Linked DNA regions of Schizosaccharomyces pombe. The main gene of each other region encodes a partner of the protein of the gene in region 2 in a complex. Each region holds a gene or a part of one and is shown on either strand. Other genes may lie near its edges.

Region 1 (8,030 bases), on a different chromosome or scaffold from region 2:
AAATGAAAGCAGCGTTGTATGAATTCGCTAACTGCGGATAGATACTCATCACCCATAAACCTAGTTAACCAAAGAATAGCTTCTGAAACCTTCAAAACGTCTGGTTTATCCATAAAACCATCTCCATTAAAGTCATAAAGCTCGAATATAAAAGATATATTGCGCATTACATCCCTAAATTTCAATTCTGCAATACCGGACACCAAATCCTGTAAAGATAATGATCCAGTCATGCTTTTGTCAAATCGTAAAAACAAATGACGAAGAAAGGATGATGAATTATTGATAGCCGCTGCATCCAAACCTTTCGCCCATTCAGTAACTCCTGCTAAAAATATACAAAATTCGTCAAATTCCAACCGTGTATCAGTAGAGCTGCCTAATCCAACTCGATGTTTGGACGACAATACTTCATGATAACGGTCGTAAATATTACTTAAATCCGTACGTGTTAATGTACCGTAATTTTGTAAACTCCTAATTTGTGTTCTCTTTGCAAATGACTCAATAGAATTCATAACTCCTTCGTAATGTTTTTTCCTTTCATCTTCAATTAAAGAGTGTGTTATATGGCTAAACTTCTTGAAAGCAGTTACCAATAAAAGTTGAAACTTCGTGATAGAGGCAACGCGTTTATCTGTTGCATCTTTATAAGCCTTATCTCCCAATGATGAAAAATAATTTTTTAAAATTGATATCAACATAGTGTCTTCTGTAGCCTTCATAATTTCAGCTTCGTTGTCATATAGGATAGCCATTCCAATTTGAAACAAAACCCTTGGACCCTCTAGAAAGAAAAAGTCTAACAACCTAAACGCATACGGTAAAGGCATTGTGCAAAGGAAAAGCGACAAAAACCACGGCAAAGAAATGATGCTAAGTTGAATGTCTTTGCTTACAAAATGCGCATGTAAGTTAGGCATTGAGCGTTGAACCAAACTTTCGTAAACTTGTTGATCAATTAGAGTGCCGTACATCGTCTTTGAGTAATAACCCGGAATGTAATCTTCACAAATCTTATGCATCAGAAAAAAGGTTTGTTCCTCGGTGCAATGAATTAAAAGAGCAGCTGCAACAATATTCATTGCCTGACAATAACCAACCTCTTGGTTTTTCCAAGAAAAGGCTACTAAAACATTTCGCAAAGCGTTGATACCTTCTTCATTTTGATAAGCAGGATATTCTGGAAGACTTCTACCTAAATCCTTTTCTATTTCCTCTAAAGAAAAAGATGTTTGACCAGAATACACTTTAAGAAGATGATCATATTCATCTGAATTCTCTAAACGAAAGTACATGGAGCCTGATGTAAGCTCCCATATTTCACCACGAAGTTTATTGGGCAATTCAATTCGGACCAATTTGGAGAAGAGAGAAACTCTGATTAACGAAAGATTTGCACCATAAAGTAAAAAATACTCTTTCCACATTCGTAGCTTTGCCCGTTCTCTAGAGATTCGAGGATCGGTGGGATAACCATATCGAGCACCGAATCCATAAGAATCTTTAGTTTCTGGTTCGGGAACATTGGGTTTGCAAAGGCGTTCAGAAAAGAACTGTTTGCTAAACTCGGAGGACCGCTGCATATCAGCTTTGTGAGATACAAGCTCTTCTCTCAGTAATTGGCAAAAATGTGCAGCAGTGGTTTCAGAAACCTGCAGAGATATTCTGTATTCGTAACCATTGCTTGTCGATACCGACAACAATTGCTCAAGATCATTGCTTTTCACTCGACTAACTTTTCGAATTATAGTATATGGCATACAAAATTGATTAGACTCATCATCACCTTGAAAAGCTATATAATCAGTAAATAAATAAAGCAGACCATTAAATGAATTAGGGTCTTCCAAGTTATTATAGTGGACAAATCGAAGTTGACAGGGCAAACTGTAGAGGGCAAATTGAGATTCAAGAAGTCGAAACTTCCATCGTAATTTGTTTAAGTTTTTTGAGGAATCAGGAAGTTTTAGCTTCGTCTTTATAAGACTGGCTAAAGAAGACATAGCTAGGCTTTTCTTCGAACTCAACAGCTAGTCTTAAAAGCCAATACCTGAAGGTTCTTGAAGCAACTATTTCTTAATATATCAACAGTTATAGAAAAATAAAAAAATGTTCAATTTTAAATCAGAATTTCAAAAGATTCAGTGTCGATAAGACAAAAGTAGATGCAATTTAGCAAATGACCCAATTCTAAATTACTCGATAGATCTCAGGGTGATAGATCCCCTTTTTTTATCTTTCCTGTTATTGAAAACTCTATAGAAGGAAAGAAAGCAAAACGTGTTGCCAAGCAACACTTATTGTGTAAGGGTAAATTTTACACCACGTTCGAGTAGTATGCAAGGCACCATTTCTTGATCTAAATAAAGACGTAAACCCTTGCGGTAGTGTATCGCTAAGAAGTGAGTTTATTTAGTAATAGTGTAATTACTGAGCTGGAAAAAATGAATATATCTCTCGAATATGCAATTCTGACGATATCAGTGCTGGATTAAAAACTATTCATTGACTAGATTCTTAATAAAGTTAAAAGCAACGGGATCACCCACAAACGATCTCATGCTTATCATTTGTAACTTTGAATATCTATCTATTAGATTAGGCTGATTGAGTAATGTCTTATACTATGGCTTAGTTCGAACAGGCTAGCTGCTTCCAATCAATACTTTATTAGCAAGTTTGTTATTACATATCTATTTTATAAAAAACAAAAAAATCATCTAAACTAGTCAAAATTCCTTACTAATTTGTAATACAGAACACTAGCTTAACTTCTACGAATACTTGAAAAGGAGGCTTAACCGTTAAAGCACATATCAACTTTCGGAACTTTAATATTCTATAAAACTAAATGATAGAATACATACCTTCCACTTGGTTCCACTTTTAACTCTTAAAGAAATGCTTTTGAGTAATCTTTAGAAGGAAATATCAAAATTCTTTAACCAGTTTGGGTGAAAGCTATAGTATTAAAGAGTAAAAATTTTATTTATAAATGTAAGTAAAAATAGGTACTATGTTGTGATAGCAAATCACTAAACAATAAACCCAAACCACACAAAAACATTGGATTCAAGTCCCCTCGGTAAAAATATAATAATGTACCCATAGCCCAAAAAATGCAATGAAACTTTTTACGATCTGTCTTTGACTATTAGTTTGCAGAAAAAAGCATCTGCACAGAAAGACTTCTGGTTCCCCTGAAAAGACTGAAAAAATCCAATAATACCACAAAGGACTTTCCAGACAAACATTGAGAGTTTAAAAATAAAAAAAAACCCCGAATTGGTCATTAAAATAATATAGGTGAAACGACGTATTCGTATGCTCCTTGCTATCATCTTTGACTAGCTCCTCTAGTCGTCTCCCTTAACAACACCAACCTTGGCAGGACGAATAACTCTTCCATTCAATTGAAAACCCTTGCTTTCGCAATGGAAGACAGTGTTGGGCTTTTTACCTTCAACAGGGATTTGGAAAACAGCTTCATGGATGTTAGGATCAAAATCTTCTCCGATACCGTCATAGCGAACTAAACCATATTTTCCTAAGGTTTTCATTAAGTTCGATTCAGTCATTGCTAAACCTTCATAAAGATCAACTAAATCCTTGTTGGACTCACGATTGTTACGCTTCTCCTCTGGAACAATTGAAAGAGCACGCTCCAAATTATCGACAGAATCCAAAAGATCCTTAGTAAGCTTTTGAACAGCAAATGCACGTGTTTGCTCCATGTCTCTCTTCATGCGGTTTTCCAAATTACGATAGTCAGCTAAGCTTTGGCGAATGCTACCCTTTAACTCCGCAACCTCTTTGTCCTTTGCTTCATATTTACTTTTAAGCTCAGAAAGCTTAGATTGAAGTTCCTTAACATCAACATTCTCTGTTTCGGCAACTTTTTCTTCAGCAGGCTTTTCTTCCTTAGCAGCCTCAGTTGAGTACCAAAGGAAACTGCGTTTATTAATGGGTGCTCGAATAAGCGTCCGAGGACGTACAGCGGATGAAAATACTCTTCCAAGCCCAAGCATTGTTTCAGTGAGAGCTTTGTGGTAAAAGACAACTGTGTCACACTATAGACAAATGGTGTTGTGAACTTAGCACTGTTAAATTTTACAAATATCAATTTCATCAACTTAAAAATTCGTTATGTTTCGTTAAATGAGGTATGGACTTTGAGATGGAAGCTGATTCAAAAAATATATAAATGACACTTTTTTCTCAAATTAAAGCTTCTATTTCGATATGTAACAAATTGATTGTAGGTTTGAACATGCATGTAGGAAAGCAACCCAAATTTCGAATTTGCTCAACACTGGAAGCCAACAACGGCTCATATGCTTATCAATTATTAATTTATTCTTTTCAGCTTCATTCTCAACAGATAATAATTAACTGATTTCTCATCTATATTTATATCCTTCTTGGTATGCTTTACGGCATTGGATTATATCGAAGTACTTACTTCGCAGCCTTTGAAAGTAAAATAATTGAATATTATAATTTAAGTTTTAAAATAATCCTATTTGTGTCATCTGGGCCATCTTATTATTTTTACATTCATCAGTTTATTTGCATAATGATATTTGTTGAACAATTTATGGGAGTCGAATTTTCACAAATTCCTATTATAATAATATCATATTCTTAATTACAGAAGTCTTCATAATAAAAGGTACCTTAGTTAAGTGTCAGATATGTCTTATCGGTATTGGACCTTACACTTTCATCCACCATCACTACTTAAACTCAGGAATACATTTGAGGATTGTAGAGGCAGAGCCATAGCTTTCTGTTAAATATTTATCTAAGCTTTGTGAAAATTTACGATTCAACCACTGAACACTTTTAATCGCCTACTAGTCCAGAAGTTGCGCTTTCAAGTAGCACCATACTCTCCTATTTTCCTGCTTGGACGTTTACCTAGATTTTCTAAATACTTATCTCTCTAAATCATGTCTTCACAATCATATCGAGAACGGACACTTGTTTCTGTAATTGGAGACGATGATACCGTTACTGGGATGCTTTTAGCTGGAACTGGTCAGGTAAATGAAAACGGTGACAAAAACTTTTTTATAATTACTCAGAGTAAGATTATCTGTTAAAAAATGGAATCGTGTTTTCGCTAACTTGCTGTTTTATGTAGAGACTACAGATGAGCAGATTGCTGAAGCTTTTGATGATTATACTACGAAAAGGAAGGATATTGCGATTGTATTGATTAACCAGTTTGCCGCTGAAAGAATACGTGATCGTATTGAAAACCATGTGCAGGCATTCCCTGCTGTATTGGAAATTCCTAGCAAAGACGATCCTTATGATCCTGAAAAGGACAGTATCCTCCGTCGTGTTAGAAAGATCATTGGAGAATAGACTATTAATATTTAATTATATTTTTTGAGCAATAATTTCAATTAGTCAACAACTCGATCGATTTGACTGATGACACTTTTATATTTGTATCTTTTGGTTTACTTACTGGCATACTAGCAAAAAATTGTAAGCAGAGTTTTTGTTAAACTATATTTGATAAATAGAAAAGTGATTATAAGAGAAATGTATTATTTTAAGTATAAATCTCATTCAACATCAAAACTGACATTACAACCACAAGAAGTCTTGGCACGTGGATTGTTTAAAAGTTGAAAAGAGGAACCAATAAGTTCATTTGTATACTCAATTTCAGAGCCACTTATCAAAGGTAATGAAATGTTGTCAGCAACAACCCTGGCTTTTCCACGCACAAATACCCTAGATATTTAGTCAATAACCAGGAAATACTTAATTAAAACTTATAGTCTTCTTAACCACATCACTTACGTGTCAGCATTTCCAATTTTGTTGTCCATGCGAAAAGATACTTGATATCCATGGCATCCACCACCATCGACAGTGACGCGCAAAACAGAGTTTTCTTCTGGTTTCCTTTCTGCAATTTTTTCTAACTGTTTTTTCGCTGAATCTTTCACGTATAAAATAAAAGGGATTCCCTTCTCGTCACATTGCTCTTGAAGCGTGAATTGGTCGTTCGCAAGCTTTGAGCTATAAAATCGATTTTTGATTTTGAATTCATTATTTATTTTGGGAAATATTTCTTTCGTTAATGTATTCGATTTCGCATCAATTCTACATGATCGAGAATTTCTAAGCGATCCATGCGATAGCTGTCGAATTGCGATCACAGGATTTAAGAGTGTTTGAAAACAACGTTCTCGAAAGAAAAATGGTCCTTTAAACAATAAGTTTACTCGCGATTTCATAAGCATCACTGCAAAGTATTATAGCCACAAGTTAGGACTTTCTAACTTGTAAACATACAGTAACGTAATAGAAGTCAAATTGCCTACGCTCTGTTTCGTTAATTCAGTATATTCCAAATTGGTGCTTATGTTTATGAGATAGAGAAGTTAAGTACATAAATGAAATAGTCATAACTTGACGAGTGTGTCATAGACTAAAGTCAAATTCAGGGATTTACCTATTAGTTAACACCCAATCTCTAAGAGATTTATATCGGATAGATTGAATTCGAACTTACAAAACTCTCACACCCATAGCTAGTAGAGAATAAGGGGAATTTATCAAATATATCTAGAATTATTTAATGTTCTTTTTTACTTATGTTGTATGCTACTAAATTTTGTGATGATTTATAGTCAAAATTAATATCTTTGGATTATTTTTACCTTTTGGTACTCCTACTCCTTTAATTCTCTTTCAGTTTTAAATGAATAGATTTTTAGCTATTAGAGATAATTTCAACCCATTTGGTTAATTCTTCTTCTGGATATTTATTGTCGATCCTTTAATTCTAGCATAGACCGGTGGATCACATCCAGAAAATGTCTTTATCACAATTGATGCCATTGCTACAATCTTCTACTTTAGCTAATTCTTTATCGTGATACCAGTGTATGTACTACCGCTTAATTACTATAAAGTTGCGGGTGTTCGTACAAGCACATATCACCGCAATTGTAATATTGAATCAGGTATAAGAGATCTTGGCTATTAGACTTAGAATTGGTTGTATCTGCAATAAAAAAAATAAATTATAAATTGCATGCCAATGAACAATAATTCACCCTTGCACGTAATTAATATTTATTAAAATGTAATTTACAATTTAACGTATGGTTGAAAATATTACATGTTTTATTTACTAAGAATTTGCAAAATTTAAAAATAAACAAAACTAGAAAATTAGAAAACTATTTTATTAAAAAAGATTGAAAGGCTGTAAATTAAGACCCTAAAGATGAGTACTGTTAATTTAAATAGATTTAATCTCTTAAAACAACAGCTAAAAAGTTACAGGTATACAAAAAATAATAAAAAAAACTAACAATAATCTAAGAAAGGCTTCTGATATCTTGAAGATCTTTTACTGTTGTATGTAATTTCACAAATAAAATAGAGAATCCATTTAAGCTCTTGAGTTTTAAATGAATATTTGATTCCTTTTTTATTATTATGAATACAAAGGAATTGCTCGATTAATAAAAACTATCAAATTGTTTAGCTTTCTTCATCCACAATCAAATGATTCTATTTTATTAAGGAACTTAATCTTCAAGAAGAAAATTCAGTTTTACATTCCATCTCCCTCTACCCTAAAAAGCTAAAGAATTACAAATATACTCGTATTTACGCGTTTCTCATAAATTCGTTGTAGGACTGGCCTGTCTTACGCTAACTCGTGTAGGTCGTTGTCTACGATACTCAACCAGAACTGCCCCCTATTGTTAGCTATTTGTTTGGTATTTCTACTGGTATTACCGCTACCAGTAAAAAATAAAATCAAAATATGAATGAATTAAAGCATGCGGTAGTTCCGATAGACTTACAATCTTTTTGTCTGGAAGGAACTTTGGCGTTGTGGGTTCCAGCTCTCGAAAACGACTCGGAAGACGATTCTGAAGCTATAGAAACAGCTGATGATAATGAAAAACTTTTTAAAAAGGAATGTGTAGCATATGATGCAGGTGTTTATACCTCAAATAAAAGCAAAGGTTCACAAACTTTAC
Region 2 (5,365 bases):
CTAGCTGACGGTGCTTTTTTTCTTCTCTTTCTTTCATCCATCGTAAAACTTCGAGACGTTCTTCATCAAGTGCCGATTCCAATGATCCTGCAGATTTTCCACCACCAGAGTAAAGAGCCGAAGTCATCCTTTAACAAATAATAAATAATTCAAGTTAGTTCGCTTTAACTAACTCAAATGTATGAATTGCCCTCACTAGTTTGTTTACTTCCGTTAGGTGGTAGATACAAGGTTGCCTCGTTTTCAACCTACGAATCCTACAAATAGCGCGCAGCGAAACAACATTTGATCTCCTTCGCTAATTTATTACATCAAAACTATATTAATGTTTACACATAAAGGTTCTTGAATTTTGGAGGAGTAATCAAGTTAAAACTGATACTGTAAACTATTAATTATGTTTTCAAAGGTTTAGCTATATTCTTTTTATTTGATCAGTTTCAGTCTTGTAATTTATAAATTGAACCAATGCATTTTTTAATTGTTATTAAAATTGTGTACTGGCATGTCATGCATTACAAACAAAAATGTTATATATTTATAATCTTCTAATATCTGCTTCTAATGGTTTTACCATGTCAGTTGTACAACAATCATAGAACAGACGGCAAAAGCTTGTTGCAAAAGATAAAATTCAATAGCAGGAGTGACATGTACAACAAATTATGTAAGAAATTGTATGCACGGTAAATTATAATTAAGATAATCATTACTAGAATTTCTCTACACATGGACAAAAACACTTGCTTGAGAAAAGTCTGTACTATAAGTTGAGACTATACAGATTTCAATAGATGAACTTCTTTTCACAAATACTGATACGGCAATGCTTCTGTATCCTTTTAGTTATCGTGTTAAGAAAAGAACCTCATCCACAATTCTATATGACAAGCTATCACTTCAACACTTCTAATTTAACGATTGCTTGTACGCCAAAATGCCCGTTGTATGTAAGCCTTCTGATCCCTCAACCAACGTCGATAGTCCTTTGCATAAAAGTTAGTAATCAGTGTACAAAGTAAATGAGTAGATAACACATATCACATACAGAAAGGGAGTAAATTTTCTCACCGTAATAATCTAATTAAGAGTTAGACATCAATCATGACGCAGCCTTCACAGCATACCTGGGATAGGATTAGAATAGCTTTCCATTTGAGGTGTAACCCTGTTTTTAACCAAGTGACGGTAAAATTCTTGTTCTCTCTAAAAAATTAAATATATTAGAATACTTTCAGAAAACATAGTCCGTAGATGCTAACATAACCCCTATTATCTAAGGGAATGAACGTACCGCTGCAATTTGTCTCGCTTGACTTTTATGAAGCAGTGTCCATATTTTTCTACCTATACTAGGGCCCAAAAGCCATCCAAGCCCTCCGGATGCAATAGTTCCAATAACATATAGAGTAAATAGATCAAGACCCATAATAGTCATGGTAGGGTCAACAGTACGCGTAAGAAAATAGGCGGATCCTAATCCTAGTCCGGTAAGTGCAGTAGGAATAGAAGTTAAGGTTTCAAAAATCCTTCTGCTTTTTCTTAATTTCAGGAATGTGGGCCAATTTAAATCTTGAGGTTTCTTCTGTTTTATAGACTCAGTGGAATAAGTTTTTACATTATAACAAGTTTTCCATAAAGTTAAAAATATTTTGGGACTTTGTAATCTTTTTACAACTAGACCAGGCCGTATAATAGGTATCATAACGAATCCTTGCTTGTTGGAAAATGTATACTTCATATACGTATCGCCTCAATTGCTCTTCTCTTTTTAACGTATTTTGTTTATTATTCCTTAGCAAGCGCGGACGCATACTAGGAAACGCAACTTTTTTTGAAAGTACGCTAAAATAGCTTAGTGAGATATAAATGAGAGTTTAAGTAAATTATTTGAAACAATATTACGGTTCGTGTATTTCGCCATTCTCCTATTTTATTCATATCCTTGAGTCAGTTGCAAGTTTAGTGTATTTTTTTATTAAAAATCCATATTATTATTTATTTATCAGCATTTGAAAGTCTGTCACTTGCTGTTGGATTTAGTATAATGTCTGGGAATTCAGGCGCCTCTGAATCGATTTCTATTGAGGAGACCAATAGAATTAGAATTTCGCTAGGCCTCAAACCCTTAGATATTTCAGAAGAAAAACCTCAGAAAGAACTTTCAGATGCTTCAGTCAAGTCTTCGTATGTCGATCAAGAACAACAGGCCTATGAAAATTGGAAGAAACAAGAGCAGGAGGAAATAAATAGGAAGAAAGAAGAAGAACTGAAAAGCAAATTTGAAAAATTACGGCAAAAGAATGAACGAAGACGCAGAACGCAAGGAAAAACACTCGCTGAAACATTGGCAGAAGAGGATGATCAAATCGATGCTAACGATACTCGAGCGTGGATACTCAAAATGCGTAATTCCTCATTGAATAAAAATGGCAATGGATTGAATTTTGAAGCGAAGAATGACGCCCCCAGAAGATCCACTCTACATTCGCAAAATGCTGGTCCCAATGTGAATAGCTCATTAGAAGGAATGAAAATAGCACACGGTTTTCAAGATTTAAACAAGAACGATGGTCTAGTCCTTACATTGAAAGATGCTGATATATTAGACGAAGATAATCATGATCTATTAGAAAATGTTGAAATGGTCCAGCGGAAGACTAAAAACGAAAGGAAGGAAGATAACCCCTACAAACCGTATGAAGATGAGAATGATTTTCTTCAACAGTCGGAAGCAGATCAACCGTCTGAAGATACTTTTACGACCATTGGTCCACAAAATAGTCTCACTGTTAATTCTACTATAGAAAAACATAAATCTGATAATAAAAAAACTTTTGGGACTCTTGTCTCTTTCGTTGAACCAACTATCACTGGCAGCGAACAATCAGATTATCGACAAATAAAGATTAAGAAGTCAAAAAAGAAAAAGTCAAAGTCTGATCGGAGAAAGCGTCTAGTAGAACTTGATGCAGAAAATGAAAATGAAAATGACCCATCTGATTTCGTGCTACCGAATGGTCAGAGTAACAGTGATCTGTCAGTTGAGCAAGATTCGGCTATTTTCAAAGAACAAAAGAAAATGAAGATTCAAAAGCGTATGCGCGAATTAGAAACACAGTCGTTTGCTGATGATGATGATTTGCAACAGTCAATTGCAATGCAGAGGAGGCTAGCTCAAAAAAGAGCGAAAATACTTAAGCCAGAAGATGTAGCTGAGCAATTGCAGAATGCCGAAGAAGTCACAGATATGACGGACTCGGACACGGCTTCCGGTTTAATATTTGATGATACGCGTGCTTTTGTTAATAGCATAAAGGAAACTGAAAATCGAGAAGCTCTTGGTTCCATAAATGAACAAGCATTTGAAGATTCCAAAGATTTGAACGATACCAATAGTATTACTGGAAGTTCTCCAACTGAAGAAAGTAATGCTTTAGTGGAAGACACCTCGGTTGATATTTCTGCAACTCTCGAAGAAGCCAATACGCAGCAGGAGAATGCAGAAGATGAGCCACTTGTCTCTGACAATGTTGGTGCAGTTCTAAGCCTTCTCCGGAATAAAGGCGTAATTAAAGTGTCGGATGAAGCGAAAGAGAAAATACAAAAAGAAGAAGAGTACAATAAATGGTTTGCCAGAAAACAGCAAGCCAGAGTTGAACTGGAGGAGCAACGTAGAAAGAAAAAAGAACAAGATCGTCTCAGCGGGAAATTTGAAAAAATGACTCAGAAGGAACGTGAACAGTATGCAAAAAAAGAAAATGAAAGATGGGATAAAAAAATTGCGGAGATAGAGCTTGAACAATTTCATGATTATAAACCTCAGGTGGACATAAAGTATGTTGACGAGTTTGGTGTGGAACTTGGTCCCAAAGAAGCATACAAATATTTGTTGTCTCATCAATTTCATGGAAAAGGTTCAGGTAAAGCTAAAACAGAAAAGCGTTTGCGTCGTATCGTTGAAAAGGAACGAGAAGAACGCAAGCCAATTTTCTGAAAGTACATATTTTATGTTTTTATTTTTTTAATTTATGGTTATGTGGTAGTAATAATGCATCATTTATAATTTCATTTTTTGAGTGACTTCTAAAGGCAGACAAAAACGAGGGTCAACGGGTTCTATGTTTGGAAACTGTAATAGTGATAATCCTGCAAGAGAAAAACATGTGTGATAAACGTCTGTGGCATCCTCTTTTCGGTCTGCAAACCCTCCGCTGTCTGCATCTTGTGTACCTAGAAGAAAATCAATAAGCTGATTACGGTCTATCCAATCTAATTTTCCAATAATTGCTAACGGTGAGAGATCCCACCAACCGTAACAGGACTAGAACTATTAGTAAACATGCTAGACAAAGAGCAATCTTCGTACATCAGGTAACTTTTCAGGGCGACCATTTAATCCACCTCCTTTAACTTGCCGTTCACTAATCCACCAACCCAATAATTCTTCATCAATTAAATCTAACTTGTTGAGAATTTTGAGAGCGGCAACACAGGTAAAAACTATTAGGTCAATAATTGGGTTTTGAAATTAAACATACCCATCGCTCCATGTGACTCAGCTCCAGGACAGAGTCCAAACCCACCATCAAAATTATAGCATTTCATTAACCAATCCACGGCAGTATTTTTATTAAGATAGTCCAATTTACCTAGTATTGCCAGACAATTTATTCCAGAATATAGAAATCTAGCGTCTATCTCTCCCCAGCGGTCTCCTTTCATAGAACCATCTTCGTTCTGTAGGCCAATAATGTCTAATTATTTATAAATTAGTTAAGGATCGCATGTACAAATACAAAGAAACTTACAAGAAGCAACTTTATCTTTGTCAACGACATGCAAAGAGTCCAACATTGCTAAAACTTGTACAGCGTATACTGTATTCGTAATGTGATCATCGTGTCCTGGATAACAAGCAAATCCGCCTAACTCATTGTTAGCAGCCCGTATCAATATTTCAGTATCAGTAATATAACTAACCGCTTTCTGTCAAACAAGACAACAGAAACGATACAATACGTTCTTTGTCAATTTGATCTTTCTTCTTCAATAGCCAGAAGCTCATGCAACTCCAATATATTGCGCTGACGTGTAAATGCTCCTTCAACCAGAAATCCAGCTCATCAGTTCGCTGTTTGTAAGAAAATTGAATTATTAAACTATTTTCTTTTCGCTTACATTTCCAATATCGTGTAAGTAACTTATGTGCTTATCTCTCAGTAAAACTGCCATGTTTTGAGCAATTGTATGAACAGGTAGACGGTTCGTTATGCAATGGTTGAAAACTGAGTGTAATGATCAGTAAGATCTGACAGTTCACGATCCTTCCTCTTTTTGAAATTAAATAACAGCTTTAGATATA
Region 3 (8,410 bases), on a different chromosome or scaffold from region 2:
AGTAAGAATCAATTAGTATTCTACAGTAAACATCGTTAATCATGGCCATTCAGAAAGTCTTTGCTCGTCAAATCTACGACTCTCGTGGTAACCCCACTGTCGAGGTCGACCTCACCACCGAGACCGGTATCCACCGTGCTATCGTCCCCTCTGGTGCCTCCACTGGTATATGGGAGGCTCTTGAGATGCGTGATGGTGACAAGACCAAGTGGGGTGGTAAGGGTGTTTTGAAGGCTGTTGGCAATGTCAACAACATCATTGCCCCTGCCGTCGTTAAGGCCAACCTTGACGTTACCGACCAAAAGGCCGCCGACGAGTTCTTGCTTAAGCTCGACGGTACTGAGAACAAGTCCAAGTTGGGTGCTAACGCCATCTTGGGTGTCTCCATGGCTATCTGCCGTGCCGGTGCTGCCCAAAAGAAGCTCCCTCTCTGGAAGTACATTGCCGAGAACTTTGGCACCAAGGGTCCCTATGTCCTCCCCGTTCCCTCTTTCAACGTCTTGAACGGTGGTTCCCACGCTGGTGGTGACTTGGCTTTCCAAGAATTCATGATCCTCCCCACCGGTGCTCCCTCTTTCTCCGAGGCTATGCGTTGGGGTGCTGAGACCTACCACACTCTCAAGTCCATTGCCAAGAAGCGTTATGGTTCTTCTGCCGGCAATGTCGGTGATGAGGGTGGTATTGCTCCCGATTTGCAAACCCCTCAAGAGGCTCTTGACCTTATTGTTGAGGCCATCAACAAGGCTGGTTACGAGGGTAAGATCAAGATTGGTCTTGATGTTGCCTCCTCCGAGTTCTACGTTGACGGCAAGTACGACCTTGACATCAAGGCCGCCAAGCCCAAGCCCGAGAACAAGCTTACCTACCAACAACTTACCGACCTTTACGTCGAGCTCTCCAAGAAGTACCCCATTGTCTCCATTGAGGACCCCTTCGACCAAGATGACTGGTCTGCCTGGACTCACATGAAGGCTGAGACCGACTTCCAAATTGTCGGTGACGATTTGACTGTTACCAACGTCAAGCGTCTTCGTACCGCCATCGACAAGAAGTGCGCTAACGCTCTTCTTTTGAAGGTCAACCAAATCGGTTCCGTCACCGAGTCTTTGAACGCCGTCCGCATGTCCTACGAGGCTGGTTGGGGTGTTATGGTTTCTCACCGTTCCGGTGAGACCGCTGACACCTTCATCTCCCACTTGACTGTTGGTATTGGTGCCGGTCAACTTAAGTCTGGTGCTCCTTGCCGTTCCGAGCGTTTGGCCAAGTACAACGAGCTTCTCCGTATCGAGGAGGAACTCGGTTCCGAGGGTGTTTACGCTGGTGCCCATGCTGGCAAGTACATCAAGGCTGCTAAGTTTTAAACTCTGAGCATACATTAAATTTTACTAATGTTTACAATACATGTTTATTTTTATAGAATGCAATGAAATTTTTATCCTTTTTGCGTTTTGGATTAATTTGCCAGGTTGCGTGTTTATTTATTATTAGTATTAAAGTAAACTGTTGTTGTAGTAGAAGTAGCTGATATAATTGTTTTGTGCTAATTTGCATCCTTTTTTTTTTTAGATGATCATTTTAGTTTTCGTTTATATAGTGTTTTTTTTTCAATCATCTTAATTTTTTTTGGAATGTGTGCATCTGCTGTAAAACACAGAAATTTGTCTTTGACCTAGTACATATTTTTATGTGTAGCCAAAATTTTTGGATACCTTTGCTCTTTATCAGTCACTTTACTACTACTAACACTGGAAAATGTTCTATTCCTCAGCATCTTACCTACTAGTATTTATAATATTCATCAACGTAGAATGAAAATAACAATATTATTAACATAATTCATCTACATTACAATAGTAAAATATTGAACCAGAAAAGCCAAAAAAAAAAAAGCATATAGAAAAGGAAATCATTTGTACAGAAAAGTCATGAACGAAAAACATGTCATAAATTAAGGACCGTATAGGCTTTATGCATTTAAGTAAAAAAAAAAAAAAAAAGAACAGCATTAAAGTGGTGAAACAAATTAAACAACAAGGGAAATCAAAGCCATCGGAAGAATCATACTTACAATCGTAGAAGCGGAAGCCAGTACGCACAAAACCTGAAAATTCGGAATCTTTTTATAACAATCCTGTATCCAAAGATGAAAAATCAATTCGTGAAGATGATAACGAATGAATAGAACGAGATAAAGGGCGCCGACGGCTATTGCCAGATGCAGTTACTCGGGGTCGTGTGAGTTTATGAGATAAGGGTCGAGGGATGGATTTACCAGATGCCAGCTTGGTGCGATAAACGGTACTGAGTCGTGTTCTGGAAGAGGATTGTTTGCTGACAGAAGGCTTTTCGAGAACCTTTCTTTGTTGATCAGAAGCTTTCAAGGTAGCGGGTGTTGTCAGGTTAGTATCCTTTTCTGTTAACGGGGAGTCACCGTCTACGCTGAGCAGAGGAAATTGTATAGGATCATCATCACTGAACTCCTTGTAAACATGGAAATCTGATGCAGGTGTATTACGAATAGTTACTGAGGTAGCCTTATTCTGCATGCTAGGCCAAGGATCGAGCGTTTCACAATCAATTGCAACGTCGTCAAACCCCAGGGATTGAATGGGGTCCAAATGAACAGGAGGAGGCATATATTCGATATCTTCTTCAAGTTCATTTGGTAAAGGAGTGTCTGTTAAAGAGGAACGACGAGGGCTAGCCGAAAGTCGCTTCGACCGCTCTTGTACGGCTGATCGGGAAATTCCTTGTGAGTTTGGCTCCAAAATAGTAGGGGAATCCATCGAAATATCCATAGGAGACATTTTCTTTGTACTGGGAGCAGAAATAAATTTGGAAATGTTAGTACTCTTACCTCCCAGTACCGTTCTAGGAACCGTTACAGAAGAAGGTGCATTCGACTGCTTTGTAGACCCCAATGGTGCTCTTTTGGAGCCCGCTCCTTTTGTACCATTTCTGTTTGATATGGGAGTTACAGGAAAAGCGTTTTCTTTTCCATATGAAAACATGGTTCTTGGCAACATCGTTGTCTATAGTCCAAGGCTGGTTTATTATTTCACAGGTGACATTCAATTGTGACCTGCACAATTTAAAATAGTAAACAAAGCGATAATTTGAAGAAATATGATCACCTTTTAAATTTTTACTTTTACAAATGCATAATAAATTGTTTTGTTTTGTTTTTGAATTGCTTAATTGGATTGAAGATGATTTATGATATTCAGGTTGCTTTTATCGTCTAGTGTTCAAGATGGAAAACCAGTTCTTCATGAAACAAATAATTTTACATTCCAACTATACTATGTTGTAATCATTCTGAATCATTATCAGAAAAGTTGGAAGTGTATTACAACTGATCATTTCGTATAAACTTGATGTTGAATGAATCTAAGCTTTTAAAGCTAGATCTGTCTGCCAAAATTGATCAGTTATGACTTTAAGTATCCCATTTCGTTATTGAAGCTGAAAATTTACAACCTGTGATAAATAATATAGGAGCTTCAACAACTGTTTTCATAAAAAATCATGAAACACATTAATCATCAGAAAAATTCGAGGTTTACTACAACTTAAATGCGCCTTTTGAATTCTGTATAAACCAGCTACTTCCTTATTTTCAAATAAATTTCATCAAAGAAACTTAGGGGCACAACAAACGTCGCATGTTATTAGAAAGAATTACATACAAACATTCTATCAAACTGATAAAAAAAAAAAAAAAGATACAAAATTAAGAGATCTTTAAATTTTTCTAGATTTGAAAAATCTCTACAAATGAATAAACGAAACTTCAAAATGCTAATTAATACTATTGCTTTTATCTCCAAAACCCGCTACATACTCAAATTATCCAGTTCTATATAACGCATTGTAATATATCTATGCTGCTTATTGAATACTTTTTTTCATAACTTCATACGATCTCTTACCACCCACATGGTATCGATTCCCAACAATATTGTAAGCAACAGCTACGACTGTTTCAACCAATACGAAAGGAAATTGATCGGTACTCTTATTCTTTAATATATTAGGATCATGCGTAATTTATGCTTCCCTCTATATCAATATTTTAATAGTTGCATTTCAGATAAAATGAGCGAATTCGTAAAAATTCTAATCGTAAACTCCTCTTAGTAAAGTAAAAAAGTCCAAATATAAGAGAATATGCTAACTTTTGTTAACAAAAGACTACTTCTCGATATTTAGGATTAAGGTATCTTTCCACCTTTGTGGCACTTGAACCTTCCATCCACCACTCACTAGGCTGCTATATCGGTTTGCAATAAAAGGCAGCAAAGTGGATTAATTTTCGCGTAATAGCGTTGAGATTTATTTATTCAATAGGAAAGAAAATGTTTCTATCAAGAAAAATCACAAAAAATGCCCGCACAATAGTTCAATGCCAGCGGTTTTTCCAAACGTCTATATTCTCTCAAAATGCAGCACCTCAATCGCCAATCAAGGTGTTCATGGATACATTTAGAGCAGAATTAAAGAAGAGCCAGGAATTACAGGACAGTGTCAAAGCATTGCAAGATAGTTCAGGATCATTAAGTGAAAGCGACACTTTCAAAAAAGCGAGAGATGCTTACGAAAAAGCGCGCTCGGGAACTACTGCAGCTTCATCTTTCACAGGAAAAACTGTTGGCAAAGCTGGTGCCAAGATTGGCTCATATGCCCAAAAAGCTTGGGAAAGTGCTCCTGTACAATTATCAAAAAAGGTCATTTCAAGCACCGCTAATACTGTAGCTACTGGTGTTGACACTGCCACAAAACCCGTACGTGAAACTGCATTTTATAAAACAATTAAGCAAACAATGTCTGATGGTAGCACCTCTTCACGTTATGGATTTTATGCTGACAAGGAACAACGTAAAAAATTGCGTGAAGAATTTGAACGTCGAAACAGAATGTTTGCTAGCTCGGCAAGGATTCAGCCTAACGAAGACGTCCAAAGCGTCGTCGTACATAGCAACCCGTCGTGGAAGAATAAGGTTGAGCAAATAAAAAACGAATCGCGTTTAGTTCGTAAAATTCAAGAGCTTAAAAAAAGTTATCAGGAGTCTGAACATCCTATTGTCTCCTCCATTCGTGACATGGCCGACAGTATTAGTGGCGTTTGGTCTCGAATGTTTTCAGAAACTGAAGCATCGCAGGTTATGCGACGCTTTAAAGAGATTGACCCATCCTTTAATACCGAGCATTTCCTTCAATATTTAAGAGAATATATTGTCCCGGAAGTTACCGAGGCATATGTTAAAGGAGACAAAGAAGTGTTGAAGACTTGGCTTTCGGAAGCCCCCTTTTCCGTATATGAAACTACTACCAAGGAATATGCGAAACATGGAGTTGTTAGTGTTGGTAAAATCCTTGACATTCGTGGCGTCGACATCATGTCTCAAAGACTTTTACAGCCAAATGATATTCCCGTTTTTATCGTCACTTTTCGTACTCAAGAGGTCCATATGTTTAAAGATGCTAGCAGTGGCGAATTAGTTGCAGGAAAGGATGATCGTATTCAACAATGTACTTATGCTTCTGTCTTTACACGTGTAGAAGACGAGCTTGATAATCCGGAGACAAGAGGTTGGCGTATCGTTGATTTCGCACGTGCACGAGCCGTTGATTATTTCTAAATGCGAAAATATTCCAAACATTTGTCTTTCTATCGGCTTCTAATTTTAACATGTAAACATTTTTTTTGGAATCAGATTTTTTCTTCCTGCATAGCATATTTCGTTTGGGTTATATTTCTCTGTCACTCATATGATTAATTACTATTTAATATTTCAAAAGTTTTGTCAAGTTTGGAAATAACTCTTGGATTTCCTGGACTATGTCCACCATCATCTACTTAAGAAGACCGCTGATATTCCCTAATGATCGATCTTCTTTTTTTTTTTGTTTCTTTTTGATGACAAGTCTAAGCTTGTCATTCTTTTTTTTATCACATTTTTCGTTTGTCTACTTTGAAAAGTCTTTAATGTAGTAGAAGATTTTATTAATTTAAAATCTTTTATTTAACTCGGGTTTTGCGGGATGGGTTTAAGAATTGAGGTTTTGCTATCTTTTTCTTAAAGGATACGCGTGTTTAATACTTTTTCAACAATCGTATTTTAGGACGCGTGCATTTTTTAGCTCAATATCATAATCACTTTAACATGTTTTATAATATTTCCAATAGTTTTGGATTAAATAGTGCAAGAAATATTTTAAATTGGGAAAAATTTGGAACATTTATATTAACAAATAGATGTAGAGAATTTGACCTTTCATAAATTAATAAACGGTTGGTTTTAAAATTAAAATGGATACTTGTTGCTTGATATCCGACTCATTATCCCTTTTTAAACCTTTAATTAAGTAAATCTCAATCCTTTTGTTTGTATATTATAATCTCCTAAAATTGAGGCATAGGTTGCCATGACTACTGGTTTTTGGTGGTAGCACTGTTGTAACCTGTGGAGGTACATATACTCAACTTCCTCCTATATCAGATTTGTTTAGACAGGATTTAACAATCTTAAACAATGACTTCTGCGACAACTACTGAAGCTACCGCTAAAGATTTACAGGAGAAGCTTTCGCTGAAAGAGAACGACGTGGTTGAAGATGATGGAAAAGTAGAGGAAAATGATGCCGCTGAAGAAGGAGCCAGCAATGGAGAAAAGAAGAAAAAAAAGAAAAAAAAGTCTTCTAAAAAGAAAAAGACCCCTCAAGAACAAACCAATCCTCCAACTGTCGGATTGTCCAAGATCTTTGTCAATAAGAAATATCCCGTTGGTGAAGTTTGTGATTATGCTGAAGACAATCTGTGGCGTACAACTGACGAAGAGAAGCGCGCTTTGGACCGACAAAATTTTGATCAGTATAATGATTTGCGTCGTGCTGCTGAAGTACATCGCCAAGCTCGTCAGTACGCTCAATCCGTTATTAAGCCCGGCATGTCTATGATGGACGTTGTCAACACGATAGAAAACACTACACGGGCTTTGGTCGAAGAGGATGGATTGAAATCAGGTATTGGTTTCCCCACAGGTGTTAGTTTAAATCATTGTGCCGCCCATTATACTCCCAACGCTGGTGATACCACCATACTTAAGGAAAAAGATGTTATGAAAGTCGATATTGGTGTTCATGTGAACGGCAGGATTGTTGATTCTGCTTTTACCATGTCTTTCGATCCCCAGTACGACAACCTTTTGGCCGCAGTCAAGGCTGCTACTAATAAGGGTATTGAAGAAGCCGGAATTGATGCACGCTTGAACGAGATTGGTGAAGCCATTCAGGAAGTCATGGAAAGTTATGAAGTGGAAATTAACGGAAAAACACATCAAGTAAAGTCTATCCGTAATTTGTGCGGTCACAATTTGGATCCTTATATCATTCATGGTGGTAAGAGTGTTCCCATCGTCAAGGGCGGTGAAGAAATTAAAATGGAGGAAGGTGAGATTTTTGCTATTGAGACTTTTGGTAGTACCGGACGTGGTGTTGTCCACGAAGATATGGAATGCTCTCATTATGCCAAAATTCCTGATGCTGGCCATATCCCTCTTCGTCTTCCCCGTGCCAAGGCTCTGCTTAACACTATTACTCAAAATTTTGGTACCCTTCCTTTCTGTCGTAGATACTTGGACAGAATTGGCGAATCTAAGTATTTGTTGGCTTTAAATAACTTGGTTTCTGCAGGTATCGTTCAAGATTACCCACCTTTATGTGATATTAGAGGAAGTTACACTGCTCAATTCGAGCATACTATCATTCTTCACCCTACACAGAAGGAAGTTGTATCACGTGGTGATGATTATTAAAAAAATTTTTTTTGTGCTGGACAAATGGTAATTAATCAGTAAAACAGCAACCATTTGCTTGCATTAATATTTTAAATCTTTTATTTTTTATTTTTGATGCGTCCTAATTTTAAAAGAGCTCTTATTTTCGTATTTTTTGATGTTTTTATCGCTCCTTTCCTTGTTGTTTGATTGATTGATCAAGGAGTCCTAAATCCCTTTCAAATCATGTACACATTTTCCCCCTTGTTCACTAAGTCTATAGGTAATTATGATAGTTAAGCAAAATTTGTTTTTGTATTGTAATTCCATGGGCATTTCTCGTATTTCCATACTATTGAGCTATTCGATGAACGGAATGGTGAGCCAACATATCAAGCTCTTTAATACATAAAAAAAGTTACAATTTCATTATTATTTAACCAATTGCGAAACATCAGGGGAGTATGTTTATTGTATGATTTTAGTAGTTTCTATATTGCATGCATAATAGTTATTTACAAGCTTCAAACAGAAAAACCTTCATTTTATGGATACTTTGTAATTGTAAAAAGGTATAGCTTGTTTATTTATAACGAACAATAGGAGTATTATTCTGCTAACTCATAGTATTT
Region 4 (7,696 bases), on a different chromosome or scaffold from region 2:
TGCAATTGCTTTGAAAGTTGATATAAAAACTTCTCTAAAGGAGTTATTTGAAAATTGTGTTGATTACCGGTTGGTTCGTTTCGTTATAGTATTTGTTGGACAAGCAGGATGGAGAAAAATACAGTTACAGTTCCAAAAACCTTGTTTTCACAAGTTATTCATATTTTCAAGTATGCGGCAATTAATTTGGGCCTTCCTTTCTTGAATGGAGTTATGTTGGGATTCGGGGAGATCTTTGCTCATGCATTTATCCACTCTCTTGGTTGGGCTCCAGGTCATACTAGGATTTATTCTATTCAAAGACATCAGTATATTCAAGCCTAAAATGAAGCATAGCTGTGCGAGGAAATTTATCTTTAATATTTGAGGGAAATGGTGTTTGCTTATTCGTGATTTTTTTATTTTTTCATTTTAAGCTGAGGCGAGTATTCATAAAATTTGAGATACTCGAATGCTTAACTCATGTTTCTCTCAGATGTATTATGGTTTCAGCTTTGCACTCTCTTTAATGATCGTTTTCTTTAGTTTTATTGTTTTTATTTTCTTTTCCCACAATATTAAGAGCTTCTTTGGCACAATGCAAAGAATATATATGCTCAAGGGATGGAAAACGAATTAAGCCCAAATGAATTGTGTTTATATTTGCAAAATAACATTTAATTTCCTTTGCATTTAATTTATTTATGATCGTTTTCCTTGAGCTTCCTTCTTCTGTTTTTTAAGTATAATTACTTTTGATTTTATTTATGCCCTTTATATTAACATTATGTGACACGTTATACATCGCTTCTTCGGACCGACAAATTGATTTGAGTAGCATAGTATAGAAAAAGGTGTCAACGAAGATTTATATGAGCTGTGAGACAAGTATCGAAGCTATCATCATTGTTTAAAATTGTTCATTATTTTTACATTACTTTGATTTGAATGACAGTACTACGCTTTTTGTTGTTTTCCTCATCACATCGCTTTTTTAAATAATTGTTATTGTATTCGAACAACGATAGTGCTCTAACTTAATGACTAAAACACGCTTATTTGTAAAGGCGTGTAAGTATTACTATTCTCAGAGCAACAAATCTCAACTGATTATAAATTGATTGCACAGCCCATTGATTCATTAGAATTTTACAGGTTATTTCTGTCGTTGCTCAAGCTTTGAAAAATATACTTTTGAATGATTCTTAAAACTTACATTATCGCATGCTTGGTACACTCGGTTGGCTTTAATGATGTTATAAGACAATTTCAAGTTTGATGATACAAAAAAGGATTCTGATCCTCGAACTGAATCTTCTTGTTTATGCATAAAAAGCAGATACCGACTACTTAAAGTCAGCAAATCTGAAAAAATAAATTATCATTAAATTTTTGTCAAATTTACGAATACTGACTTCACAATTTGCTATATAAACTTGAAGATTTATTGCATTAGCCAACAAGAATACTATATTTCTATTTTCTTCCAAGATGTAGCATGGACAAACCTAAACAGTAGTCGTTCTATATTTTATAGCTATTTAAATAATTAACTATATTACCCATCGCACAGAATTACATAGCATATTATTTAAATCTTGGATATACGCTCTACAAGCATTGCTATACACTTTCAGTGGTTTTTAAAAACATGTATTAACAGGATTCCAAGCAAACTTTAGTACGCATCCAACACAAATAGGAAGTCTACGATCACACAAATTACAGCGATATAGAATTTCGCGAAAAGAATAAACCATTAACTCAAGTAATTTCAAAAGGTTCTTTGTTAACGAATCTGTTTTAAATGTAATAATAAATTTTAATCTATAGCAAATATGTGGACCTTCTGACACTCGCGTACAAGTAGGTTATCTTGTTAGCAAGCTCTTAAAAGATCCATTCATTTATATACGCTCAGTGAATAGCAAATACGAATGCATAGCAAAATACCATGCGGGTAAAAAACCTTCCTATTCGCACTGTCTTGAGCGAGTACGGTAATGTAAAGTGACCATAATACCACTTTATATAGCAAAAAAATACTGTTACTTCAATAGTGACTATGAAAAAAAGCAGTCGCTAGATGAACTAAGTCACAATAATATATTGATCGATTAAAAACTCATTAGTATAGGCATAGTCAAAGCTAGTTGAGTCTTTTAATAAACCGGATTATTTAATCCGTTTGAAGTTGTAAAGAACTGTAAGCGTTGCCAACGTTGATTTTTATTATTCACGGAATCGATCTTGAAAACAAAGGTTGTATTTACTTTCTTTTGCTCTTTAAACAGTAATATTATCATACACATAGTAATCTTTAAAAACTAATGAAAGGATTCTGCTCTTGCATTAACTTTGGAGAGTATCTTCCTTCATTTTCAAACCGAATCAGCGTAATAAAATATACCTATACTCTCTAGCGTATAAAAAATATGAATCCATTTTTTTAAGTTTTTCATTCATCAAATATATATTATATTTATGTTTCTACTTTATTTAGTATGCTTGGTTATCCGTGGACTTGTTAAGCCTCACGCAAACTTTCCCTACTTACCTATACTTTACTGATTCTGCCCACACTACAACTCCCTGTTGATTTATTTTCATCTTGTATCAAATTTGAAGATGTCAGATCGTGAAGAAAAGCTAGCTGCAGCTAAACAAAGGGTATGCATAATATTTTGTAACATTTAACTTACGAGTGCTAGTTGCTGGAGGTCAAGAAGAAAAAACGCCAAGCTAAATCTAAAAATTCAGTTGCCGAAGATAATGTTGACCGCGAATCTAATGATGGCAATAATCAAGTAAATGAGCCTACAGGCAATGACAATACTCAAGTAGTTGAAAACACTGAGGATATTTCTGCTTCGAATGTAGTTTCAGCTGAAGGTGCTGAGGCATCCACCGGCGATGCTTCTACTCAGTCTCCGGAAACATCTGAAAATGTCGTTAAAAATTCTGTAGATGAGTCGGTTGCGGAGAAGCCTGAGAAGGAGGATTTAGCGGTAATAGAAAGTGAGGATAAAGCAGCCAAGCCTGATGGTGAAATAAAAAAGAACGTTGAAACAGAGGTCACTTCTCGAAGTACAAGCAGTCAAGAAAAAGATGAACTAGAAAAACAAGTAAAAACCCTGCATGATCTTAATGAACAAAAGGATAAGAAAATCAAAGAATTAAAAGAACGCATTAACGACTTAACTTATGATTATGAAACATTAAAAGCTAATGCGGATGACAGTGAAGGAAAGCAGACACTCGTATCCAAAAGAGAAGCCGCTCTTGAGGAATTCCAGTCAAAACTGTTAATCAGAGAGAATGAGATTAATAAAAGAGAACTGAAGATGAATGGAAAAGAAGATGATCTTAAAAAACGTGAAAAGGACCTTGAAAATCGTCTATTAAAGGTTGAAGAACATGAGAAAAGTTTAAATGAACGTGCCACGAAACTCAGTGAAGCTAACGAGAATTTCAATAATCGTTTCAAGGAGTTTGAGGAGCGTGAAAAATCCGCGATAAAGCAAAATAAAGAACAAAGCTCTGAAGGCTCTAAAACTGCTAACCAAACTCATGAACAAAAGGAGTTGATCAACTCATTGGAAAAAAAGGTTTCGGACATTGCTTTAGAAAAGCAACTTTTGGAAGAAGCTGTTGAACGTTATAAACTAGCGATGGTTGAGTTTGCGGAATGTCAAAGAAGGCTGAAGGAACTTGAAGCGATGCATTTTGAACAGCCTGGCTCCGTGACCGAGAAACTTTTTCCAGATCCTACTAACTTTGAGGTAATCGATAACGTTTCAATTGACTTGACATTGACTGGATTTCCCGGTGCTCACGGCATTCCTTTTTCAGTATGAAGTTAAAGCTTTAATATGATATTTATTATTAAGTCACTATGTTTAAGCTCCATTACCATACTGTTTCAGCGAGTATAAGAAGCCCTAATGAATAAGATGATTTGAATTTACAATCAGTTTACATGATCTTTGAATTGTGACGAGTAGTAAAACAAAGTAAAGAATATAAAGCAAATTCATAATATATTAATATTTTTTTGTCTAAAATAGTGAACTTTATGCTTCTTATTATTAAATCAAGGTTGTAATTTGGAAGTAGTATTAGATTCTTTGATATGAAATCTGCCTTATAAGGAATTTTTACCACCACCCTTTTTACAAGAAAATTTGTGAAAATTCCTGTTTAGGGCATGTGTATGTCTGAAAATAAAATAAAGGAAGACATTTATCATAATTATTTGTTCAAAATTACTATATTACATTAAAAAATGTCGCTTCCAAGGGCTGTCGGTCGATTTATAATTGTTGGTTCGCAAGGTATGTTTGTGGCCATTCTCCTATCAAGGATTTATTCAAAAGATTAAAAACCCTAACAATATTAGTAATGAGCAAAGCTTTTGTACAAGCTTATAAGCAAATGATTGCTAATGCAGCTCAACAAAGTACTGGTCAAGCTGCTGCTTCCAAATCATCAACTGCTGTTCGTCGAGGTGAAATGACTATTCAAGAAGCTGGTAGCATTTTAAACATTAAGCCAGAATCATTAGAAGAAGGAGAGTTAGAAAAACGATTTCAAAAAATGTTTGAGATTAATGATCCTAAAAAAGGAGGATCTTTTTACCTCCAGAGCAAAGTGTTCCGAGCTCATGAAAAATTGAAAAGTGAACTGGATCAAAAAATACAAGAACAATCCCCAGCGAAACCAACCAGTTCACCTTAAAACTTTCTTTGATTTTGGGTTGCTAGCTATTGCTACGTATTTACCGACACGTCTACCTTAATTTAATGTAAAATGGAATCTATCTTTTTTTTTTTTTTAAGAAAAAAAGAAGCAATGGGATATATTTTTGTTTACGAATAGTTGAAGAAATGTGAGGAGGTTGATATCCTCATATTTTTTTGAATATGCCCTGTACTATGATAAAAGGAAAATTAACACTAGTCTAGCTATCCACATACCCTCAATGCCGTTAAACCAGAGCCATATATTGTCAATGTGATGAGAGATGTACATTGATATGGATTGACTTCAAACGAGAGCCTGAGGTTAAGCCAAAACTTACTTTTCGACTTTTAACTGTCGCTGGCCAATCCTTAAAGTTAGACTGGGCTGCGGGCACCATGAAGAGATCAATAATCTAATCTATTCCCAGATATCAATCATTACACACTACTATTGAAATACATTTTGGTTACAAATAATGAATAAGACACAAAAAAAAGAACCGTTAAACTAATATATTTAAAGAATATAAGTTCCAGTTGAGCAAATGATAAAACATTCTTTTATGTAAAACAAGAAGACTATTGGGCTATAGCAAAAAGTATACGGTAAAATCATTCGCCCAATTATGGATAAAAAAAGATATCATGGTTAAGCACAGTCGATTTTGGGAAAGGAAAAAAAAATGAGTGCAAACAACCGTGATACTATTTTGAACTTTTTTCTTAGTAAAGAAAATCCGTTTTTTTGTTTACTAATACAAAAGCCATGATATCCTCACAACATTTGGTATTAAATGAAGCGAATAATAAATTCCTAGAACAGACAAGAGAAGAAGCAAAGAATACACATGTCTATTTCACTTTCCTTTATAAACATGATAAGTAGCGAAAAGAACAAATATTAGAGGATTGAAATAGAGGGATGCTTAGTATTTTAAGATGATATAGAGAGCGTGAATAATACCGGGAACGTAACCAAGACAACAAAGAAGAATGTTGATAATAACGTCAGCACCACAGCCACGTTCCAAGAAAACGCCCAAGGGAGGGAGAATAATGGCGAAAATTACCTGTGTCATATATTAGCATTGAGTCAAAAAGAAGCGAAATTTTTTTTTTATAATACCAAAAAAAAAAATTTCGTAGTAAAATGTAGCTATAAAAGAGAAAGTAGAAACCAAGACACTTGGCGAAATCAATTTGATTTAGTAACAACAATGCGATGTGAGCGATTCAAAACAAGCGCAAGCATAAACACAGGACAGGCGACAATTAAAAGCATGTCATTTCAAACATTAACGAGTCGCTCAGAGTCAAAAAGTCATGAGATGTTGAAACAAAACAACAAGAGAAGTTAAATCGAATCAACTCAAATCAAAAATGAAAGCCAAGTTCAGTAGGATCCTGCACCTTCTCCATATATGAGCTGGAAAAACATACCTTGAAAATATCACTGCCAGTCAAAGCCATTTTTAATTAATAAAGAATAAAAAAAAATGGAATAAAAAAAGAAAACTTTTGGTTATACCGAAACTTTGTGTGAAATGTATGGATTTCTGTTGTGTTATGGAATTTTTAAAATGTTGCCAGTGATGCTGTATATTTATACGAAAAAATGCCAGAGGCCCAGCGATAAGTGACGTAATCCTGTCGAATGCAATGATGCTAACATTTTCTAAGCTCGATAGACACTAGGTAAAGAAATTTCTCCTTTTGACCATACAAACAGGAGAAGGCAACAAAGTACACAACTTGTAAAATGATTATTTACCGAAAAAACATTTTGGTTGTCCAAAGGGTTGTTTGATTCATTTGTTGGTACTTTACCTTTGTCTCTAATTTATTTGATGGTTTTACTTGCATACTTGGTTTAAACGAGCAAGTTTGTACAGGCATATACGTAGTATATGAAGTAGTTTGCAAATCTACACGAATATGAATTAAGCCCATCGTTTACACGAAACTTTGTATGGGTAAAAAGTGTCTTGTCGAAAATGAAGGCAAACCGAATTAGCTGGGTATTCATAAAAGGTATTATTATTGATTGAAAGGCGTAAAATATTTTTGCAAGGATAGTAATAAAATGGTTGTATTATTTTTAAAACAGTTGGTTAGATATAGTTAAAGTAAAGAAGATAGAAAGAGAGAGAGAGAGAGAGAGAGAGAGAAAAAAAGAAAAAAAAAGGTCGGAAAATAACAGAATCATTTTATTATTAATTATATTAAATTATATTTAATTTTCTATATCTCTAACATATAACAACAATGAATTTATTTCAAACCAAAAAGAAGGAAATGATTTCGAAATAAGAAGGAAATGATTTTGAAAAAAGAAGGAAATGATTTTGAAAAGTGTATAAGAAAATTTTTATACCAAAACACTTTTTTTTTCTGTTTTTATTTTCATTTTAATTTATATCGAAATATTTATATTTTTTTAGCTATGTATATTACTTTGTCGTTGTTAAACAAATCTACATTCTGCAGCTATAATTCGTAAGTACGGGTGGAGCACAGAGTACATATGGATGTTGCATGCGGAAAAAGACGGGCGTAGTAGATTTATTATTTGCGATAGAAATATATCAACATGCCGTTATCAATACAAAATGGACGTATTCCATTTTTATAAGTGGACACTTTGAAAATAAATCAAGAAAAAGCGATGCAGAGCTGGCATGAACGGACCTTGTTTCAAGCAAAGTATAGGCTAGACAATGAAACGAAAGGATGCGACGCAAAGAAGCCCAGTCAGCAAAGTCGGAGAACCAGCCACTGCACGTTACTTTGGAAGCATTCTTACAAATATTGTTTGGTATTGCATTGCACTGCATTTTGAATTTCTTTTCTTTTTTTTTTTTTTTTTTTTTATTCTGTCGGATTGGATTTAATTTCATTTTTCTGATTTGATATTATTTATTTAAATCTTTTTTTCTTATTTTCATTTCAATTCTTTTTCTACTATTTTACTTTCT

What was found.
Region 1: pam17 (region 2) and mge1 share a complex: the UniProt entries of both Schizosaccharomyces pombe proteins name them as parts of the PAM complex.
Region 3: pam17 (region 2) and tim44 share a complex: the UniProt entries of both Schizosaccharomyces pombe proteins name them as parts of the PAM complex.
Region 4: pam17 (region 2) and tim16 share a complex: the UniProt entries of both Schizosaccharomyces pombe proteins name them as parts of the PAM complex.

The regions. Positions count from the first base shown.
Region 1 is NC_003423.3:4,018,548-4,026,577, reverse strand, and holds mge1 (GrpE domain-containing chaperone mge1), read right to left. Parts: upstream 4,062-8,030; 5' UTR 4,032-4,061; coding exon 3,360-4,031; 3' UTR 2,806-3,359; downstream 1-2,805. Other genes in the region: SPOM_SPBC215.01 (GTPase-activating protein), read right to left, coding at 1-2,006; vma7 (V-type ATPase V1 subunit F), read left to right, coding at 4,956-5,091, 5,150-5,376; Fe-sulfur protein Isa2, read right to left, coding at 5,583-5,754, 5,824-6,269; nucleoporin, WD repeat Nup120, read left to right, coding at 7,811-8,030. UniProt on the Schizosaccharomyces pombe protein: Essential component of the PAM complex, a complex required for the translocation of transit peptide-containing proteins from the inner membrane into the mitochondrial matrix in an ATP-dependent manner.
Region 2 is NC_003424.3:1,553,087-1,558,451, forward strand, and holds pam17 (putative TIM23 translocase complex-associated motor subunit Pam17), read right to left. Parts: upstream 1,735-5,365; 5' UTR 1,706-1,734; coding exon 1,295-1,705; intron 1,207-1,294; coding exon 1,128-1,206; intron 1,081-1,127; coding exon 1,049-1,080; intron 987-1,048; coding exon 915-986; 3' UTR 501-914; downstream 1-500. Other genes in the region: protein Dbs2, read right to left, coding at 1-127; U4/U5/U6 small nuclear ribonucleoprotein complex subunit Snu66, read left to right, coding at 2,048-3,997; geranylgeranyltransferase type 2 beta subunit Ptb1, read right to left, coding at 4,061-4,324, 4,370-4,503, 4,542-4,757, 4,812-4,928, 4,984-5,134, 5,182-5,235. UniProt on the Schizosaccharomyces pombe protein: Component of the PAM complex, a complex required for the translocation of transit peptide-containing proteins from the inner membrane into the mitochondrial matrix in an ATP-dependent manner.
Region 3 is NC_003423.3:2,201,196-2,209,605, forward strand, and holds tim44 (TIM23 translocase complex subunit Tim44), read left to right. Parts: upstream 1-4,267; 5' UTR 4,268-4,358; coding exon 4,359-5,642; 3' UTR 5,643-6,178; downstream 6,179-8,410. Other genes in the region: eno101 (enolase), read left to right, coding at 42-1,361; securin cut2, read right to left, coding at 2,121-3,011; methionine aminopeptidase Fma2, read left to right, coding at 6,537-7,817. UniProt on the Schizosaccharomyces pombe protein: Essential component of the PAM complex, a complex required for the translocation of transit peptide-containing proteins from the inner membrane into the mitochondrial matrix in an ATP-dependent manner.
Region 4 is NC_003423.3:882,352-890,047, forward strand, and holds tim16 (TIM23 translocase complex subunit Tim16), read left to right. Parts: upstream 1-4,141; 5' UTR 4,142-4,264; coding exon 4,265-4,313; exon of another isoform or gene 4,314-4,378; coding exon 4,379-4,716; 3' UTR 4,717-5,296; downstream 5,297-7,696. Other genes in the region: MIM complex subunit Mim1, read left to right, coding at 109-324; SPOM_SPBC713.09 (uncharacterized protein), read left to right, coding at 2,608-2,649, 2,691-3,836; plasma membrane proteolipid Pmp3, read right to left, coding at 5,648-5,791, 6,162-6,191. UniProt on the Schizosaccharomyces pombe protein: Essential component of the PAM complex, a complex required for the translocation of transit peptide-containing proteins from the inner membrane into the mitochondrial matrix in an ATP-dependent manner.